3 linked regions of the Lepisosteus oculatus genome follow. The protein of the gene in region 1 interacts with the protein of each later gene in a biochemical or structural test. Links are inferred from orthologs where the notes say so. Each region holds a gene or a part of one and is shown on either strand. Other genes may lie near its edges.

Region 1 (7,366 bases):
TTTGTTCATGTTGTGTTTCATGTGTTATGTCTTTACATTCCCTCAAAGCACATTTCCCACCTGGGACAATAAAGTCAAGTAACAGTCAGCTGACCTGTGTTAGCTACCGAAACGAGTTCAGCCAGGCAGTCTCTACATGCCCACAGATCCTCCTGATCAGAGTACACAGCTGTACACAGACGTGGCTGACCTTTGACCGCGAACACTAACACTGACAGCACAAAAATAAGCAGTGGGCAAATGAGAAAAATCAATTTTCTGCTACATAAACAGCACCAGGACTGGTCTAGGCCAGAGTTCCCACTCCGAGACAAAGGAACCTGCTATTGCAGCTGAGCTCTCTGTTTAATTAGTCCTTAACGAGGAACCAACAACTTGCTTGGTTAGAACCTTTGAAAGCTTTTCTTCTACTCAGTAGGTGGAGAACAAATGACTTAAGAAAAAGCTGAAAGACAACCTCTAACTAAATATAATTAAAGAGCTCCAACGAAACCTATTAGGTTAGAACAGGCAGTCATCCTTAAAGATCAGCAAGGGGTCGGAGCGGAGAGTCCAGTCACACTGACTGAACTGCAGTTTTCCACCAGGAACAGGATAACCGGCAAAACTCCCCATTCTTTATTACAACACTCCCAAGCAGTGACCTCCCCTTCATCTGTGGATCACATTATAGTACAGTCTGACCACGGGACTTCACTGTGCATAATGACAGCGAAGAGGAGCTACAAGCACAAAGCCCCCCGAGAGGGCAAACAGGGGTAACTAGGGGTCGACCCCCGAAATCCCAATTTCCAAGTTGGGATGTCTGCTAGGGTCACGCCCACCAGGGGCGCAAATTACATCCTGGTCCTGGAGTTCTGTTCCAGTCGAGCCCATGGTCCCAGAACTGAGCCCTTCACCGATGGTATCAACACGGTTCACTTGAACCTCTGGATTGTTCTTCGGCTCTTAAACACCATGCTGGAGGGTGCTTTCTGCCCACTGCATTTCATGAGTGGAATAAGACACCACCCTTCCGAGTGGAGAAGAAATACCACGCATTCCAGCCGGGAAAGGTGTTGCTTCAACCAAGAACAGCTGGGCTAAAGAGCAGCAGGTGTCGTCTTCGCGTGCCAGGATCGGCAAGCCCTTCATTGTTCACACCCACCTGAGGCGGAGCCTGTACGAGTCTATTTAAAGTAAGGAGGGAGGGGCTTTTCTCTCCTTTACCAATTAGTTCCGTGTTGCTCCGATACCGGCTGTCAGCTACAAGTCCCTAATCGACAGGACGCCTTAAGGTAGAGGATGGTTTCCCCCCACAGCTTCTAAATGAAAACCTGTAAATTTAACCGAAGTTGTGTGCTAAATGAAATAGAATGCTTAATTATCCCTCAGCACTGTTGGATTATACCGTCATAAGAAAAAAAAATATTGACCCGTTTTTCTATTTGGAGGATTTCCTAAGCCTATTGCTCTTATTTTGCCCTTACCCATACTGCAATTTTTTCTGTCAAGCCCTGCATCCTCTTCATATGCACGGGTTCTTTGCAAGACATCCGTAATGAGGATCACCCTTTAACATTCTTGACCTGGGGTCAGCTGGCATTCGGAATCCAGCACGCACCGTCCCAAAGATGTTTACTGTAGTAAAAGTCCAAGCTTCGCGGAGGTGAGGGGGTGTGGTCCTGCCTGAAGACGGAGCCCGCCCGCCCCGGAGCTCCGCCCCCATCGCGCCGGAAACACGCGGGGCCGTCGGGTCGCCTTGAGACCTTCCTGTTGGGAGATTTCTGCAGACGAGCAGCTTTTCGTCTGGAAGCACATTGACGATCTCTCCGAGACGGGTAACATCCCGCGTTAACCTGCGTGGCTGCGCGGTACGGCGCTGTTTTTGGAGGTGCGCATTCTCACACAAGCCTGCCTTGATTCATTTTGAAGTGAAAAGGCGGGGGGATACTCGCGGTAAGGCGTGCACGCTGAAGGCGGCACAGGTTGTCGAACTGTTAAAGACACCTGTTGAATACTCTTAAGATGCGACATAGCCGGGATTGCAGGTCAATATCCGCTTATTAGAAAATCCTGATTTATGAAATCAAGTCCGTAAAACTGAATCGCTTTTAACGTCCTAACAAGAATGATGAAAACGTTCTTTGGGTTAATCTGATGTATGGTATGTCATATACGTAATACATTCCGATATAGAGAATGATTCCATTTTATGCAATTTGCTGTTCTTTTGCCACCATGTATCCGATCTGTATCTCATACGCGGACCCATATTAAACAGTGTATTATATGTAACTTCACTGTACCTCCCCATCTTCCCCACCGTGGGGTGCCGACCCCACTCCCGAAACCGGGTGCCCGTGACGCCAAGCACACTGTGACCTCGGACCACCCTGTGGCAGCGATACTACATCATCCAATTCTTTCGTGAAGAACCTGACATCAAAACCTGGTGCTGTTGGCCGCGTTATCCGAAGTGGTCTCGCACAGAGCGAGGTCCTGCAGTGCACCCAGCAAGCTGGTGTAATAATGGGACTTTAAAATCCTCCGTCCCTGAACACCAGAGCCCATAACTGAGGTTTGGTACGGATGCCAACTTGTTCGGTCCTGCCGGTATTCAACTAACGGATTCAAGAGCGGCGATGTGAACGCACGGCCTTCCGGATCGCTCCGCGTTTTTAATAAACTACACGGACGCGAGAAAAAAAACACCTTTCAACACGCTCACGCCCGCTTCACGTACACGGCAGAAAAACAACCCACCCAGGTCGGGCACAACAGAAGTGCCCGACAGGCCGTCTTTATGACGAGGTTTCTAGATTGTTGTTTTTTTTGTTTGGTAAACAAAAGACTGAGCGACACGACATCTGGTAATCAATGATAGTGGTGGTGGGGAATACATTGTCCTAATTTGCAAATAAACTGTTTATGACTTACCAAACGTCCTCCTTTGTTTGAAAGGTCTGTCGGAAGGCATTATTGTGAGGGATCAGTCCGGTTTAACGCCCGTCTCAAGCACAGATGACTGGACAACCTGGGGCTCGGATCTCTGTCTGCCCAGCTCGCTTTTGTGACAGTGTAGCGAGCCGAGCAGTATGACGTCAGCCGGAGACTCTTAAAGGGGAAGGAGCCGTGTTGTGGAGAGGGTGGAGGAGTGTTTAGCCGACAGAATCGGCTCGACGTGTTTCATGAATCCCTTTCATCCATTTTAGGTGCTCTCGTAGTACTTAATCATTTAATGGGGTTGGAGACAGAAATTTAAAAGGCAACAATAAGACCCGCAATGATGCCCCTTACTGATAACACTGCCCATGTTTGGTTTTTACACCCAGTTTATTGAAGTGTGACACGTTTAAACTTGACCTTTAGAGACGGGGTAGGTGGGAGTGTTGGACTAACTGATTGATTCATCCAGGGTATAGGCCTTGACCACGTGACCTCTTTCAATAAACACCTCGATAAAATCCCAGGATCCATTAACTACTAACTAGCAAAGAAGCTGTATGAGCTGAATGGCCTCCTGGTAAATTACCTTTTAGATATTCAAAACAAAAAACTGAGGTCGTTACTTTTATGCATTAAGGAGGCTTTTATTTGTTTTTAGTAGTTTTGTGTTGCAATTAAAATGTACACTTCTACTGGACATGTAGGCAAAGGAAAGCTGGTGGGGGGGGGGTACTGTAGGATCCCTCACTGGGTGTTCCTGATACAATCCTGGCTGTGAAAACTGAATCATTATTTCTGCTTGACATGCATTAAGTGTTGTGTAATCCAGAGGGCTGTGCTGATCAGTCTAATTCAGTGCAGAGAGTGCATGTACATACCAGGCCATTACAGGGCACGCAGAAAAACACTCACACTAGCAGCAGGTTTCTGGGCTGTGGGAGGAAACCCAAGCAAACATACAGACTCTTTGCACATATTGCCACCATGAGAAGTTTATTAGATGCTTTTAAATTGACACATGACTTTCTTAAATATATAGTATGGAACAAGTTCTGTAAAGGAAAAGGGTGCTTCATGGTCCAAAACACAGTAGGGGCAAGAGCCAAGATGAGTCTTTTCTGCACTCATCCAGTGGGTGGCTGTCTTTAGTCAGCTGAAGAAATCAAGAGATTTTAAACGGCCTTACATCGGAGGAAAAGCACTGTACACGTAGTGGAATCTACTCTTCCCAAAAGCCACAGTAAAAACCGTGTTGAGCTGCAGATGCCTTTTAAGCTCACAGGTGCAGGAAATGAATGGAAACAAATACAAATCAAATTCAAACACCCTCTGCAAGCCAGCTCCCTTTGGGGAAAACCACAGCTTTCCAACCCCTCAAGTTTTATTAAACTAAAAGATTGTTTAAATGTAAATAAGAACAAGTTCTACATTGATAACGTCTTTGAAAATATAGTGACCAGTTTTTGAGCAGGACAGTGCAGGATGCTTAATCATTAATGCTGCAGGCCTTCATGGAAGCAGTCCGGAATTAAACACAGGATCACACTGGACCTGGTCAGTCTTCACCCCTGCACTTCAGTGATTTTGTTTCCAACTCTTTAAACCAGCAGCAGTTCCTAGCCTGTGCTTTCTGCTGCATGTGCATGGAGAATACATTCTCTTTCATTGTATAGTTATGATGTATAGCTTGGGAACCAGAGGAATGGAGCTGCAGTAAAGGTTTACTTCTTATTGCACTGAATTACACTCTTTGCACAAAATGAATACTTGTGATGAAACTAATTTATGCTTTTTTCTCCAAGATAAACCTAGAACAATTTATCCGACACTGGCACAGTTTTCGACATACACCATTTGGCCTTGTAAATAAAAAAAATAACTTAATAAAAGGAATAGGTCTTCTTATTCTGTAGGATTCTGGACGACAATGAGGAAGTATTCTTTATCTGTCAAAAGGAAAAAACAAAGATTATCATTTTACTGAACATTGCAAAACAAGCTTAAAATATTATTGCCTTAAAGCACTCCCAATGACCCCCTGCATGACATAAGGGCGGAGTGGTGGCTCTGTGGCTAAGGATCTGCGCCTGTGACTGGAAGGTTGCCGGTTCAAATCCCGCGGCCGGCAGAGGAATCCTACTCCGTTGGGCCCCTGAGCAAGGCCCTTAACCCTAACTGCTCCAGGGGCGCCGTACAATGGCAGACCCTGCGCTCTGACCCCAAGCTTCTCTCCCTGTCTGTGTTTCCATGGAGAAAAAGCTGGGGTATGTGAAAAGACACATTCCAAATGCAAGAAATTGTAAACATTAAACATGAAACGTTAAAAAAAACATTTAAAAAAAAGTTGGGTTTCGTTTTAACTATTTCTAATGTCCAGTCTGTTTCTGCTCATTTTGCTGCTTTTCTGTTTGCACAGAGAGTGAGGACCTGCCTACCTGCCAGAGCTGAAACCTCTGTGAGAATCACCTTGGAGGTCACAGGGCTCTCCTGCCTGAATAACGCCCTCTCTATCCGGCTCGGACAAGGGGCTCGATCTGCACTCTGGGTGAGAGAGCCCTCAGGCTGAGCTACGCTAATACCTGTCTGCTGCTCCTGCTCGCACCCCCACAGTGGTCAGTGAGCAGGACGCTGGGCGAGGAATTTTACACATCAGCGTGCGTGGAGCATAGAAACACAAAAAACAGCTACTAACATAATGCAGTGAAGATTTATTTTTTCTGTTATTCCCTTCCTGTATCGTGATCCAACTGGCCACTAAACCCCACACAATTACAGGGTGCTTGTAGGGGGGGCCGATGAGCCCAGTTTTATAAATCTCAGCGAAGGCATACACTGTATATAACTCCACATACTGCTGCACACGTCACCCAGCTCTTAAAATCAATCTAGCAAAACAGATGCAAACAGCGATTGGACTAATAAATGTTTGTTTTTAAATGCTTTTGATCTGGTTACCTGGGGCGACCATGATTTCGTTTTTCTTGGAGCGGAGCCGGAGGAAGGTGAGGTCATTCTGGGGGTCGATGTCCCGCACGGTGCTCCGCGCTTTCATCACCAGCTGGTGGATGAGCCCCGAGTACTGCACGGTGGTGGAGTTGTCCAGCGTGGACTTGATGGGGATCCCTACCAGCAGGGGCAAGAGGGAGTGAGGTGGGGGATGCATGGCGCACGCCTTTCAAGTCCACCCATCTTCTAAGCTCTTTGTCCAGTTCAGGGCTGCAGGGGAGCTGGAGCCTATCGCAGCAAGCAAGGGGTGCAAGGCAGGGTACACCCTGGGTGGGACGTCAGTCCATCACAGGGTGCCCACACTCGCACCAGGGCCAGTTTTTCCAGAAGCCAATTAACCTGCCAGGATGTTTTTGGACTGTGGGAGTATACTGGGGGAAAAACCCCTGTGAACACGTAGGATATCAAACTTGGTCAGAAACCCACTGGGCACGTTTTGTGGCCCGCGTTTAAGAATAGTAAAAGCCTCCCCTGAAGCCCTAGCGTTCTCGGGCTCTGCCTCAGCCTGCAGGGACACGGGTGCGAGAGATGTGATGCTGAACGGCTCTCCAGGGGGGCCTGTCTGCCAGCCTCCACCCTCTCCAGGGCTCACGGCCCTAAAAACAACTGGCGATTCCCACTTGAGCAAGTCAAGAAAACAGACCCTTTTCTAAGTGCTTTCCGAAGTGTGGGGAGCTGAAGCCTATCCCAGCAGTGGCCACGAGGCAGGGTACACCCTGGACAGGACTCCAGTCCATCGTAGGGCAGACACACTCAAGCCAGGGCCAGTTTTCCCAGAAGCTAGTGAACATACGAGCATGTGGACTCGCCCAGAGGAAACCCACGCAAACCTGGGGAGAACATACAAACTCCACACAGACAGCACCCCAGGTCTGGAACCAAGCCCAGGACTCCGCCACAGCAATGCTGACCACTATGATACCTGTGCAGGTGGGCGCACGTACCTTCTGCATTAACGATGATGATCCCCTGGACACCCTTCTGACTTTGAATCCTCTTCAAGGTTTCCTCCACTTCAGCCTGCAAGACACGCCCGTGATCAGTAACGACCGTCACATCAAACACCGTGAGCAGCAGCTTATCTAGTCTGAGGCAGGGTTGCCAACGCAGGAGAAACAGACGCTGTAAGCTTGCAGTGCATCTTCAAAGCAGGCCAGGGGTCTTACACTGACCTGCCCACCTACTGAAACACAGGAATAGTTTTACACGGTCACAGAAGCTCCCGAGAAGAAAAGGGTCCAGATCGGCCAAGCTTCAGCCTAACCGTACAGTTCAACAAAGGCAACTGATTTGAACGAGCTACACTGTTCGAGGTAGTGCTGTCACACCTCACACCACGGCACCGCTACGCTGTCCAAGCAAACGTACAGTACTCCTACTCCTACTCATTTAAGCGGAATTTCTATAATTTGACATTCATATAATCAGTTCA
Region 2 (7,272 bases), on another chromosome or scaffold:
CTGCCGGCCCCATCCCCAGCCATCAGAGCTGACAGGCTTGCAGACGCCTCTCTGCTCTCGCTGTCGCGCCCATACGCACCTGTGTATGTGGCCTCTTTGACCCCGTAGGCCAGAGCCCCGGCTCCCAGCAGCAGCTTGAGGCCCATGCCGGCTCCCCTGGAGCCCGAGGACATGCGGCTGGCCATGTCCCTGAGCTGCTGCACAAACCTCTGCGGGGCAAAGAGAGCACAGGCTTAGCCAGCACGCCTGTCTGGCGTCCTACTGCCCCCACAGGCAAGGGGGGGGAGTCAAGTCTGACACCGGGGGGGGTCAACTCCATCCCTGAGGATCTCTTGTCAGGACCGTGTGGGAAGACGGAGCCCTTTCGGCTTTTACACACCACGCCGCACCTTTCTGAAAACAGACCACCAGCCTTTGATTGGATTTAGTCCTGCGTTAAAAACTACCACCGCTAAGATGCTGCACTTCATTTCTAGAGACAAGGTACAGTCGTGGCCAAAAACATCGGCACCCTTGCACTTTTGGCAAATAACTCACAGTTTTCTCTAAAAATAAGTTGCAACTGACCAACTTATGTGGTCTCCACAGTTCTTTATTTCACTGTTACTATTACAGAACCGTTGTTTTTGATTCAGGACTTAATCTATCCTTTTAAATCAGAAAATAAAAAGAAACGGCATTGCATTGACAAAATTATTGACGGCCCAGACTCAATATTTGGTAGCACAGCCTTGTGTCACAATATCTGCAATCAAGCGCCTCCTATGGCCACCGATGAGCTTCCTGCACCTCTGTACTGGCAGTCTGGCCCACCCTTCTCGTGCCACCTGCTCCAGGCCTGCCAGGTGTGAAGGGTGCCCTCTCCCAGCTGCTGTTGTCAGATCTCTCCACAGGTTTCCAACGGGTTTAGATCTGGACTCATTGCTGGTCCCTCCAGAACAGTCCAGTGTTTTGTCCTGCCCCTTTCCCGAGTGCTTTTTGAAGTGTCCGGTGTCATCGTTGAGCTGGAAGACCTATGACCTTCGACGGAGACCCAGCTTTCTGACTCTGGGTATGACATTGAGCTCCGGAATGCCCCGGTGTTCTCCTGATCTCAAGACGCCTTGCACACGCTCAAGGCATCCAGCGCCAGTGGCAGCAAGGCGACCACACAACATCCCTGAACCTCCTCCATGTTTCACTGTAGGGAAGGTGTTCTTTTCCTTGAAGGCTTCATTTCGTTTTCTGTAAACATAGAGGCGGTGTGCTTTACCAAAAAGCTCTAGTTCGGTCTCATCTGTCCACAGGACATTCTCTCAGGAGGATTTTGGCAAATTGCAGTCAGGCTTCCTGATGTCTCTCTCTCAGCAGCGGGGTCCTCCTGGGTCACTGAGCTGGCGAGGGGGGGTGCGTGTTGAGACTGTCGCACCTCGGCTCTGAAGGTCAGCTTGAATCTGTGTGGCAGCTGATCGAGCTGCTTTCTCCACCATTCGAACAACCCTTCGCTACAATCTTCGATCAAGTTTTCTCTTAAACTTCTTGATAACATTACATACAGTGGAAACAGGAACATCAAGGTCTCTGGAGACGGACTTGTAGCCTTGAGATTGTCCACGCTACAAAAGAATGTCTTTCTTTTCTCCATGCTCATTGTGGTCCACACAGTGACACAAAACAGGAGAAAGAGTCCTTTTCTCTATTCTGACTGGCTGAACTAGTGATTTTTATATTGCAGGCACCTGCAAATCACCACAGCTGAGTTCAATTCCAAAGTAAAGGAGAATCACCGGCTTGAAATAGAATTATTTCTAAACGCTTGTAGAAGGTGCCAATAATACTGTCCGGGCCATTTTAGGATTTCTTGTGGAATAAGCTTAGTACTTAGTACATAATTCAGCTTTTTTTGTTTGTTTCACTGCAAACCAAAGCAATACAATGTATAAGAAATACATTTTTAATTTCAGCATTTGTCTGGAAGAAGTGTAGCATTATTTGAAAAAAATGTGCACGGGGTGCCCATATTTGCGGCCACGACAAATATTTATTGCAAGACGGTTCCTCCGGGTCTCGCCCGGGAGCAGCCAGCCTGGTGACACAGAGCCGTGCGCGTCTGTTCCGAACCGGCTCGTTCTGGGTTTGAAAATAAAACACAGGTGGGAAATCCGGTGCTTCCAGATACCGCGCAAGTTTCATCGCAAGAATAACATTCGCTCAGGTTATGAAACTCAGCGGCTGAGGTGCCGCTGTGGGCGAGCGCTCCCCCTAGTGGCGGCACCGGGCATCGCCGCGCTGACTTCTTCGGACAAGGCTGGACTCCATATTTACTACATCCAGAACATTCCTTGTCTTGGGGCCGCGGCGGTACGTTAATAACCAACACGTTTACACCAGGTTCCTTGAGGACACACGGATAAGTCAAAGGCAGAGGAAGTCTGAAGGGTCTAATTACAGACGGCGTGATGCAATGTCACCGACCCCCACAGACTCCAGCGAGACGCGCCGTATTGCACCGGTTGCTACAGCGCCGAGCTCTTCAGATCACATATCTGTTAATCAGAATGCTACACACTAGCTTTGAAAAATAAAACAATCCAGTCCCCTGCATATCGTACGCGGCCAAGATCCGCTGTCTCTTGTGACCAACAATATGAAGTCTAACACGGCCTCGTTAGTCCAGGCACAAAAAGCAATCCCTCTACAGCATTTACAGCAGTATTACTTTATTCTGCAATTCCACGCATAGACTTAAAGCTCGGGGAACACACGTCTTGAATTATTTGGTAGGTTTATTCTGGGAAAACAAAACCATATTCACGTTAATCAAAAAAAAAAAGATGAAGCCTCAGACAGAATGACATCAAACCGAGCTTGGCGCCACGGTCTTTACGAAAACAAGAATGTAACTATCTCACGGGAAAGCACTAACTCCACGGCAATGTGTTTTAATCGGCAATATTTCCAAATACGTGTGTAATTTCCATACTCACACTGGGCTCCTTATTCGCCATGCTGCCTGCTTCTGTGTTGCGCTCTGCCTCGCTGCAAGGTCAACTCACTGCACTTCCGGCTCCCTAAGAATGGCCCTCTGGGAAATGTAGTTCACCACAGAAGACACGTGATGACGTTATTTTTCTTCTATCGTACTCGCGAACGAAGTGATTTTCAGTAATCCGCACAAACCGAAACGTAATCCCATTCAGATGACCCGTGTTACTTCCATAGACTAGTTAACTGTAGCGAATATAAGCTTAACTATAATATATATAACTTTTCAAAAATTGTATGAATAATAATAATAATAATAATAATAATTGCTTACACTTTTATAGCGCTTTTCTGGACACTCCACTCAAAGCGCTTTACAGGTAACGGGGATCCCCTCCACCACCACCAATGTGCAGCCCCACCTGGATGGTGTTTGTCCACTGAAACCACCCCCCAAAAATAAGGAAAATAAGGCCTAATAGAGGTTTGAACACTTAAAACCAGACCAGATTAATTTGATAGTTTGTTGCTTATTGATCCAAAGATCGCAGCTTGTTCCACACTCCCACCACGCTTTGTGTAAAGAGCTGCCTCCCGCCCACGGCTTCTCCGTAGTTTCCCCTGGTTCGTGCGGACTCCTGAACCCACGGTAACGCTGGGACGACAGATGATGCTCCTGCAGTTTGAATTCGGACGGAACCGATTTTGTAGCCTTTTGCCCCGTTTTCAGGACAAGACCTGCTGCTGGGAGTCTGGCGGTGAGCGCGAAGGTGAAACACTGTGTTTCTCGCCGCAAACTCTCGACGATTTTGGAAGCTTCCAGCAAACGGCGGAACTGACTCTCCCACATTTTATTTTTACAAACGTCGGCATCTGTTACCTAGAAGACCCGGGGTCTCTGGGCTGTAAGCAATGTTAAAGATTGGTGCCGCTGGTCGTAGCTTCCCAAACGACCCTCCCAGTGTTTCTGGGGCGCCGTCCCCAGTTTATTTCTCACGTTTTCGGCTTTAAGAACTGAGACCTGCTGGAGCAAAACAAAGAGCTCTTCTTCCCCTCAGGTTTCACTGGACGTTAAATAATACAAGACGGGGTATTTCAGGGCATGCCTTTTCCAGTTCTCATATACTGTATATATTGAGCGAAACGAGAGACTTTTGTTTTTGGTTTAAGCGGCGAAAACACATCACTCTGGATGTCAGCCCATACAGTTGTGTTTACAGCGTCTTGAGAGAGACCCGCAGTGACCCGCACTGAGCCTCACTGGCCTCTCAGCCACAGCAGCGCTTCTCAGCGCCCCGGTGCTCTGAAAACGACCCCGATGTTACGCAGATCGGTAAACAGATGAGTTGACAAACGTAACGCTATATTCAACTAACTCTTAATGCCTAAGAGCTGCGCTGGAAAACCGGACGCAGTTCATTGATTTGCACATTAAATGCTTAAAAACGACTGCGCTTGGTGAATGGGACTTAATAAAGCTAAACAAATTTCATATTTTGATTGAATACACAGAGAATCAGGAACCACTTTTTTAATCAGTTGCGCGTTTTTTTGCCTTATAAAACGGCTAAGCTAATTAGTGTTCCCCTATCCCAGGATGCCTAGCGGCAGTGCGCGGAAGCCGCGATGACATCACAATCCCTTAGTGACGTGCTGGAGTGCATCCCTTTACCGCCTAGCAACGGGAGGACATCACAATTTTCTTATACAGGATGTCACATAGACCCCGCCACCTCGCCAGTCGCCGGGGTATAAAAGGGGCCTCCTGTAGAAACCGGTTGCAGTTGATCGCACTCTGATTCGTGAATACGATTTGTGTGTTGTCTTCTGCCTATGGGTCAACGACACAGTGACCCAGGCAAGCCACTGGCTGCCACCCCACCAGACCCCCCCCCCCCGAGTGAGCCCAGATTCGCCAGGGGGAGGAAGAGGAAATTCCTCAGGAGAAGAGCCAAGGAGAAGGAGGAGGGAGATTTCCCTATGTTCCTCCTGAACCTGATGACGGTGTTTGTCTGTTGCGGAGGTGTCTCTCCCGTAGAGAAGCCCAAATCCCGCACCCGCAAGGACGACACCTCGGCCACAGCGCCCCCCACGCCTGCCACCCCCACTTCGACCGGTAAGGAGGTTCTCCTATTAGCCTGAAGACTCTCAGCCCCCCTCCTGTGCTCCTCCAAGGCTCCTGGCTACAGTGTTTGTTTACCCAGGAGCCTCTCTCTGTCCTCCGTGTCAGTGACATTCTGCTCTCGTGCTGAATTCCAGACCCCGACGCAGAGGCACCCCCCAGCGCCCTCCCCGTCCCGGGGTCCCCCGAGGAAGATGGGGGTGACGGGGCCGAGGAAGAGGAAGTGATGGGGGTCCGGCCCGGCGAATACGGGGACCGGACCGAGGACGCCGGCCCAGAGCCCGTCGGGGGCCCGACAGTGGTGAGTCGGTCCTGCCGCCTCAGCCGAGTCCCCAGATCCCACTCCTGACTCCTGAAAATGGAGGGTTCGGGCCTGGATGCGATCCCTGTCCGACCCCACGCTCCTCAACTCCTCTGTCCTGTCTCTGAACTCACAGCCCCCCGAGTCTCCCCCGGAGTCTCCCCCAGAGTCTCCCCCGGAGCCGCTGCCTGCGGACGAGAGACCCCCGGGGGCCCCACGATCCGTGGGCACCCAGGCCAAGGGGAGACGGACCAGACCGGAGACGGCGCCGGCCCGTGTTGGTGACCCCGCCCCAGCGCCAGGACCCTCTGACAAAGTAAAGCCCCTTCGGAACCTCTCCTGGGTCTAACAGTGCATAACCTCCCAGCTCCTCCTGCGCACGGCCGAGCCGAGACACCCAGTCCAGAACAGTCGGTCGGTTCTGTATTCCCAATCCTGACCTGTCTCTCCTGGCCTTCCCCCTGTTTCCCAGGAATCCCAGCCGTTCCTGTGCCGCTCCAGCTCCAGCAGCCCGGTCACCATGTTTGGATCCTTCGCCTTCGACTGGCAGCCCCCCGGCGTCCCCTCGCTGCCGCTGGGCTGGGAGAAAGACGAGGAAAAGGAGCAGGGGGCGGCGGTCCGGACCGGCGAGCCGGAGCCGGACTCCGAGGACGCCAGCGTCTCCGAGGGGGCGGAATCTGCCCCCGCCGGAAGTGCCGGGCCCAGCTCCGAGGCCCCGAGCCTGGAAAGGGAGGGCAAGCTGTGAGCGCAGGGAGAGCGCCCCCCACAGGCTGCCACAGGAAGCACATGAAAATAAACATTTATTTCTGCACAAACTGAACGTGTAGTCCCTGTTTGGCTCTGGCTGCTGACACAGCTCTCTCACACCCGCAGGTTCTCTCACAAGGCCACAGTCTGCGCTCCAGACTCTTTATAAGTGGCCTCTCGCTCTCAGAGACCGGTCTGAAGGTGGGGTCCATTCAGCCCAGCTGCTCGGTCACCCCGCAGCTCCCAGATGGCAGCCCACTGCAGTCCAGCAGTGTGAGCCTGGCCACTACCTGGACGGGAGACCTCCTGGGAAAGCTCAACCTGGTGCTGGAAGAGGTGTTAGTGGGGCCAGCAGGGGGCGCTCACCCTGCAGTCTGTGTGGGTCCTAATGCCCCAGTACAGTGACAGAGGCACTAGAGTGTAAAAAGGCACTGTCCTTCAGACGATACATAAAACTGAGGTCCTGACTTTGTGGTCATTAAAAAATCCAGGGGTGTTTACTCGAAAAGAGTAGGGGTGTAACCCCGGTGTCCTGGCCAAATGTCCCCCAGGCCTTCACCAGTCATGGCCTCCTAATAATGCTGAAATGTTGATCATTGAAGCTTCCACAAGAGGGCACTCATCACTCAAACGTTTTTTCTTTCAATGGGATTAGAAATGTATACACGCCAAGTATTGCAGCAAAAAACACAAGACATCCGAATTGTGTAAAAATTCGAAAAACGAAGTTCTGTAAGAGCAGGACAGAAATTCTGTGGTAAAGGTACTCATTCTGTCTGGATACAGGAGCTGTGAGGATACAATTTTCTGAACCGTCTACATTTTGAAACCTCATTCATAAGCATTTCCATATCTACCTTGATCAAGTCTTAAAATAGTAGGAGACTTTAGGAAAATTGAATCTTTCTCTCCAACTGTCATCTCGGATTCTCAGCGTCTTGGACATGAACACATCCCTCCTTCATCAGACAGGAGAGATTTCGGGAGGCTGTGTCCAGCCCCAGCCGGCCCAGGAAGCACAAGACTCCACGCAGGACAGACCTGGAGACACTCCCCCTTCTGTTCATCTCTGCCAGCTCCCGAGTTCTGAGGAACAGTGTCGCCTCACTAATAAAGGGATGCCACACATTCCGAATTT
Region 3 (7,389 bases), on another chromosome or scaffold:
TTTAGTAGTCACTTAAATTTCAGTTTTAACTTGAAGCTACAGAATACGTTCCACTTGGAGCCGCAGGTTTATGAAACAGTAACATATTGTTGCTCTATAACACAATGAAGAGTTTGGATTTCCACGTTACCTTGCCTGTTTTACTTTCTGATAAAGACGCATGCTGGCATTGTTTTCTTGGTAATTATTTTTCATCAGAATCCATCCTTAACATACTCCACACTTACCAAATGAGGCGGGGAAGAATAAGGTTAAATCAGGTAATGACCTAGGCTTTAATGAAAAATGAATATCCAACAGCTTTGAGCTACGTAGCTGTAACGTGACACATATATAGCTCACCTTATCATTTAAATTCATATCATAAACATAAGATTTAACCTAAAAAAAACGTAGAATATTTAGCAGAATTTACAGAAAGCAGTCCAACACTATGTGCTTTTCATTATGAAAAGGAGTAACTTCAACTTGGACTCGAAAAGAAATCATCACATATATTTTATTAATCATGTTTATTAGATAGCCAAGTGTTCTGAAGAGAAGGCATATCATTCCGACTACAGGGAAGCTGGATGAAAAAACTTTACTAAGTATAATTTTGTTATGTACCCAGACCAAAAAACAAATGCTCCAACCTGCATACTTACCAAAGCTACTTCCGCCTTCGACACTTGTGACCGGACGCTCTTAGAGTGACGTCAGACGTACGCAAAGAATGCACGTAATGTATTAGTTACGCCAGTGTTGTGGGAGTGATACGAATTTCCAACAAATTACAGCGTCCAAATGTATAATCCTTTCTGATTTATTATAGTACAGGCGTCTGCAGAACTAGGAATGTGAAATTATTAACAAACTTCACATATTTACTACAAAAAGCTTTTCCAACACCTAAATAATAACAATCCAGTAGATATCGTCTACATTTAATTGCATTACAAAATGAAAGCCAAAATGTTAGCAATAACTTACGTAAATCTTTAAATCCAAAAAAATCAAGAAACTAAACTGAATCTAGCTAACAAGGTAGACAGGGTAAATACACGAAGCCTGGCCATTATAGCTATCTGTTTGTTTCACCACTTACATAGATTAGTGTTGCATGCAAAATAATCAATATTTTCATCCACAGAAGTCGACCGTGGAAACCACTTACTGCACTAAGGCATTGCATTTAAATACAGTTTACGGTGCGTTAACTATTGTATAAAAAACAAAGAACCAAAACAGAAACAAAAAAGCGCAGACAGCCAAGCACGAAAAAACAGAGAAAAACTGGTATGCACCATTCCTTTTCATTCTGATAAGAAGGAACTCTCCCTGTTGTAGCTAAAATAGTAATGTTACCTCCCACGAAGCAACGCAGCGAACTATAAGGTGAGTTGCCTCACATGGAACTAGAATCGTTTTTCTTGGTTTAATACAAAATGGATCCCAACATGATATCGATAAATAAAGCGTGGTGCCGCATGAAAGATTTAAACCTGTTTCATACTGCAGCAATCGACGAGCAAACGATATTTTGTGATTGGTTTTCCCGCAAAAAATATCCTAAACAGATTTCAAAATTCCCATGACCAGTGCATGGAGTGATGTGGTTTTTCTAGTCTGGCTATACTGAGAACGAGTTGAACTGGAGACTCAAACTGCATTTTTGGTGCCTGTTCATCAGACGCACCAGTCCTGAGCGTCCATGCTAGGAACTACAGTAATTGCTCAGCAGCGCCATTGAAAACGAATCGGCCTTGATCTGTTCTTTTCTCTGTGACAAGTCTAAGCCTGTTAAAAAACAATTTATTGGTATTACGTTAATCAATTTAACATATGCCCTAGTGGAAATTGTAGTAGAAAAGGTTCATCTGGTATCTACCAGTGACCAAGATCTTCTAGTTCAGAAAACGTTCAAAAGCCCATTGAGATCTGTTTATTACTGCATAAATCTTAAACAGTTTATACTGTATTCTACTGGCAATAATTGAATAATAATTAGTGGGTACAGTGTTGTTGTTGTACTATGGATATGAGAGTTACCTATTGTTAAGCAACATGTCTAATATCTTTCAAATATTCATGAAACCATGTTAGGCAATTTGTCAGTTACCTGAGTAATTTCTCAGATTTAGTCATTAAACATATTACATTTAATTATTTATTTACAAGCAGTTCAAATATAAGCTGGCTGTGATGGGCACCACAACGAAACTTTGAGAACGAAAATATTATCTCCTGATGGAATCCCCCCCTCACATCTGCCACCACTGAATACAGTAGTTTAGTTGTGACATTGTCTTGTTTTTTGCTTGTTGTAAAAAGAAATATATATAGCATTTTAAGTTAAATCTACAGAATCACACAAAACCACACAATTTGTCTTTTTAAATACATGCAGAACAAACATATTTTAGTATACTGCATGATCACATTTATCATAGATTTAATAACTTACTGTACAATGTATTTAAACATGACTATTCCCATATGAATAGAGTTAACTAACCTGTTGATAGAGTTAATGTTGGGCACAAAAAAAAACGTCTGAAGAAAGGAACTGTCCATCTCCTCATTATCCTGGATTAGAATAATGGCATGATCTTGAGTATTAAAAGCTGCTAAAACTTAGAAACTCTGTACATAAAGTACTGTGTTGTAAGTCCATAAGCATTTCAATACATCTGTTTGCATACTGCTTTTCACTGTGGACCATGAGCTCGGTTAAGTGCAGTAGGGCCACAGGACTGATTCACAAGGTGATACCTTGTTAGCAAACTGAATTCACACATTTTTTTTTGTTTAAAAATAATCAGTATTTAATTAAATTAAAAATAATTTATGGTTTTCATGCACCATGTCTGAAAATAAATGTTTAATTAGGAACAGATGAGAAATAGCTTTGAAGCCTCTGAAACAAGCCTGCATTTTTGCTTTAGAAAGCATGTTTACAATTGTTACAAAATATACATTTGTTATAACTAGAATTTAAAGAAGACAATTGTACCTACCATATACTGTACCATAGTTCTTCATATTGTACCTTGTCAAATCTTGTACACCGTGGTATCACCAATTGTATTCATGATATACCATACTACTAATACATCTTACTGGTACTACATGGTATTGATATAAGTGCCACTGTACATTCCACAGCCATGCTTGAAAACATACTTTTATGAGACCACAAAATATTTCCCCCTCTGAATGTATAACCTCTGGACTCTTGAGAAACCCAGCTCTTAAGAGATACAAGATGTGTAGTGGATGATGACAACAAAAAAAGAAAGCTATAAGAGTCTGCTACTTATTTTGTCCGTTTTCATTTTTTGTCAATGTTTAATTTAAGCTTTTGCTTATCCAAGGTGTTTGGAATGTTATTTAGCTGTGACTTGGTGCTCAATATTGTGTCGTGTCCTTAAGTTTTTCTCTGAATTGCACACTTTCATATTGCAGTCAGTCTTCAGGAGCAATGGTCAGTGGACCCAAATGTTTGTAGAATAAGCTACAAATTCTAAAAAAACACAAACATCTTCCATTGAGAAAGGAGCATTTGGTACTGAGTCAATTTGGTACTGGTTCCAAAGGCGTTCTTGAACTGAATGAGCCTATTGTCTCTACAAAGAGAGATTAAGACTTTGCTCTTTTACTGTATGTCCAGACAGAAGTTCTTAAGTTTTACGTAGTTCAGTGAGTTTTGTTGATTTGACTCTATTGGGCATTACAAATGACTGCTGAATCATCTTAAACATGGGTAGTGTGACTGAAGGTTACATAATTGTTTACTGTTTTTATGTCTTTGAACTTTGGAGGTTTTGATGTATTTGGACATTACAAACACTTGAAACTGATTTGCTTGGTAGTTAGTCCTGTTGAGAAAAAAACACTAATCTTGATACTATATCTAAATATGTTATTAAAACAATCTTGCAGATCCCAAATACTGTAAGTTGCAGGGAAATATAAGCCCTTTCTTTATCAATATTTCGGTTACATCTCTGTATAATGTGTTTTGCCATTTCCTTTTCACTGTAACAGTAAAGCCAAAATCATATATTTTCTTGTAATAGTGCCCTACATTCCTTGATAGAAATATAGTATTTCTCTAAGATAACCTTTCATATGCGTTGAAAAACAAATACAGAATTGATGTTGTAATAGTTTATTACAGTACTAGTAACCATTACTGATATTGTTACATGATATATGACTGTGGTATCCATCATTTTCTTATTACTTCATCCAATTTAGGTTTGCAATGGAGTTGGTACCTGCAAATAATGGATTCAAGGTGGGGTATACCTCAGATCGGTCGCTAGTCCATTGTAGTAAATGTGCAGTATTTACAAATTTGTTTGACTTTTCCTGCTTTTGGCCTGCAAATTATAAAGTTCTGTTCTGAAGGATTATTTTTGTCAATTATTTAAAACAAATTTAAATCTGTCACTTCTTTAACAAAACAGGCATGAATTAAAATAACATGTTACTGAAACATTTTACATTTCTGAATAAAGTGCGCCGTCAATGGATGTGGAAAATGTATCAAAATACTACGACAAAGAAAAACAATGTTGTTTAGTTAAATAATAGATTACTTTGTAAATACAGCCAGCACAGTGTAATACACAATTTACTCGACACATAAATAAAGGCATTAATTTGATCCAGCAAACTTTAACAAATATTTTTATAAAATGAACAATAAATAGCATGAGTCATAAATTTAAGACGTTGTTTTTAGATACAAACACTAGTAGATTCTACATTAGATCTTTGAATAAAACACAAAGGTTGCATGTTGTTTCAAATTCACAGTTCCATTTTCAACCAAACATGAAGTTAATATGAAACACGTAAACCACTTTTTAAAACATTTGTCTGTTCTGTAATGAATATAAGATAGTTATTGGAAAATACAAAAGATTTGCTTCATATACAGTATATCCAATGTCCAGTGTTGCCTACAAGGAGAAGGAAAAAAAAATATTTACATACTGAGAATACTGAAACAAACAAATGAATCACTAGTCCTTCTTTATATAGTTCTTTGGTTTGAGAGAAATTAGGATTCCAGTAAATTTCCAATCAAATAGCCTTTAATTGGTACAGTATGTTTTAATTTTTAAATGGCAGGGCAGCTTGTTCATTCATAAATCTAAAAATAAAATATTTCTTTAAGATAATGAATACAAGGATTTATTGATTAGTGATTAAATGACTATCACCTTTAACATCGAATTACAAAATAAATTATTTCAAAATGACGCACATAACACTAGGAGCAATACTATACAATTCTTTCTGTGTGGAAATGTAAAAGGCCACTATGTTTCATGCTGTCAACATCAATAGCAGAAACTGTGGTACCTGTTTTCGACATAAAAGGTCTGTGATCTAAGATTTGCTTTCAAAACATGGATGAATACTTTTCACATAAACACTAACTTGAATAGCAAGAAGGCCTCTTTCAGACTGGAATAGAAGCTCATTGAAATGCTAATAAGTAAAAATGTTTTCCAGAGGTTATTTTAGGGTGATGACTAAGTTGATAGTACTAATCTAAGGCAATGAAAGTCTTTATGCTCTTTTAATCTTTTGTGAACACATGGGGAAGATGTCATTGTACTGCACAACAAGAACAAGACCCACCACCGTAGGTCTCACACACATTGTTGAAGGAACTTTCTTTTGGAGAAAGACTTTAATTAGCATGATTATTTTTACACAGAAACATCTGAATTGCGTAAAATAGGTTCCTCATTTCAGAATAGTAAAATTGAAAAAAATATGTATTGCTATTAGTCCTGAAATAGTTTCCTTTTACATTCAGAATGCTGAAACAGTCCTGATTCCTTTGTCATTTAAGATGTTTTGGAAATGATCTGAGAATTACAGAGGGTAATTTCAAGAGAAATTGAAAGGACTTGTAGGGAGGTTTGGGTTGATTTGATATGAACTATCGTAATATCAAACATGATAATGCACATCCAGTGGTACGTGGAAAAAATCCTTTAAACTATTAGGAATTAATATGGAGTATATTTTTAAAGATTTTTTTGAAATTTTCATTGCAGAGGGGATAAATGAAAGGATTTAATGTGGAGTTGATATATCCTAGCCAGATGGTGAACATATGCAGATCATGATGAACACACGTTTTACAAAAGGCCATTACCATAAATGTTACAAAGTAAGGGATCCAACACACCATAAAACCTGCGATGATAAAGCCCAACTGTTTTGCAGCTTTTCGTTCCTTACTGATGCGAAGGCTCTGAACATACTGTTTGGACTGGGAGCAGAACTTTTGCCAAGACTGCTTCAGGTTATTCACGCTGGCAGTATCTACCTTGGGGCTACTGCTGTGAGACCACGATGGAGGCTCAGGATGTGAGAACTCATCTTTACACAGGACTGTGGCAAACCTCTGAACATCAGAAATGTCTGTTATCTCGCAGACGCCAGCGACAGAGTTGGGCACAATTAAATTACAGTCACTGACTGACACAAACATTGCATTGACATCTTCATTCTCTGATTGCAGAATGCCCAGAGGCAAGCAGGCCACCTTCAAAGGTGTCTCAGGACCCATGGCCAGATGCTGTTCGTTTGTGTCCCCCTGTGTACCAAGAGAAGCAAGCGGGTGCTTTTCTTTATCTGTCAGGAACATGTCTTCTTGCAGCTGCTTTTGATGTTTGGGGATAGTGAATAAAGCAGCCTGGTAGCAGCAGTTAGTTGTGTTTTTCTCAACCCAGGTCTCTATACCCTCATTTATGTCTTTTGGGTAGTATTGCTGTCCGAGGCTGTACTGATCAATCAAACCCTCAAAGTGGGAAGATTCCTGAGGAGCACTCTCTTCCTGTCTGACTACATCAGTCTTACGCCTCTTCCCAGATATTTTACAATTGTTAGCGAAACAATTCCTGTTGTAAGAAGAGGGCTTCGACTCCTTGATGATCTCCCTTTGCCGATAATGCTTTCTCACTGCCATATATATCTGTGCGTAAAACCACAGCATCAGCACGGAGGGAACGTAGAAGTTCAAAACTGCAGTAAGGACTTTAAACCAGGTAACAAATCGAAAATCCGTGTCGCATTTGTTTTCCGTTTCGGGCTGTGGATCGACGTCCGAAAAGGTCCGCCATCCCAATATGGGTATGACCCATGTCATTGACAAAAGCCAGGCCCCTGATATCATAACACTGGCCCTGGCCCGGGTCCGATATTTGAGATATCTAAGTGGCTGCCTCACAGAGCGATACCGATCCACACACAAAATAAAGAGGCTGAAGATGGAAGCTGTACTGGCTACATAATCCATGACTAACCAAAACTGGCAAACCATGTTGCCTAGTCTCCACTCTTTCTCCAGCAAATACACAATGCTGAGGGGCATCA

What was found.
Region 2: the proteins of map1lc3a (region 1) and phb2b form a complex in vitro, tested with the Homo sapiens proteins (2 studies listed by BioGRID). The link is inferred for Lepisosteus oculatus from reciprocal best matches to the Homo sapiens genes MAP1LC3A and PHB2.
Region 3: the proteins of map1lc3a (region 1) and atg7 form a complex in vitro, tested with the Homo sapiens proteins (2 studies listed by BioGRID, with this or other methods). The link is inferred for Lepisosteus oculatus from reciprocal best matches to the Homo sapiens genes MAP1LC3A and ATG7.

What each region holds. Positions count from the first base shown.
Region 1 is NC_090711.1:2,773,396-2,780,761, reverse strand, and holds the start of map1lc3a (microtubule-associated proteins 1A/1B light chain 3A), read right to left. Parts: upstream 3,078-7,366; 5' UTR 2,960-3,077; coding exon 2,920-2,959; intron 1,580-2,919; exon of another isoform or gene 1,474-1,579; coding exon of another isoform or gene 1,470-1,473; intron 1-1,469. Other genes in the region: dynlrb1 (dynein light chain roadblock-type 1), read right to left, coding at 4,831-4,874, 5,884-6,051, 6,879-6,954. UniProt on the Homo sapiens protein: Ubiquitin-like modifier involved in formation of autophagosomal vacuoles (autophagosomes). While LC3s are involved in elongation of the phagophore membrane, the GABARAP/GATE-16 subfamily is essential for a later stage in autophagosome maturation.
Region 2 is NC_090708.1:1,898,764-1,906,035, reverse strand, and holds the start of phb2b (prohibitin-2b), read right to left. Parts: upstream 3,075-7,272; 5' UTR 2,988-3,074; coding exon 2,967-2,987; intron 210-2,966; coding exon 80-209; intron 1-79. Other genes in the region: uncharacterized protein, read left to right, coding at 4,798-5,080, 5,224-5,387, 5,524-5,703, 5,860-6,132.
Region 3 is NC_090699.1:61,988,108-61,995,496, reverse strand, and holds the start of atg7 (ubiquitin-like modifier-activating enzyme ATG7), read right to left. Parts: upstream 3,092-7,389; 5' UTR 3,000-3,091; intron 1,378-2,999; exon of another isoform or gene 1,291-1,377; intron 800-1,290; exon of another isoform or gene 648-799; intron 1-647. Other genes in the region: hrh1 (histamine H1 receptor), read right to left, coding at 6,011-7,389. UniProt on the Homo sapiens protein: E1-like activating enzyme involved in the 2 ubiquitin-like systems required for cytoplasm to vacuole transport (Cvt) and autophagy.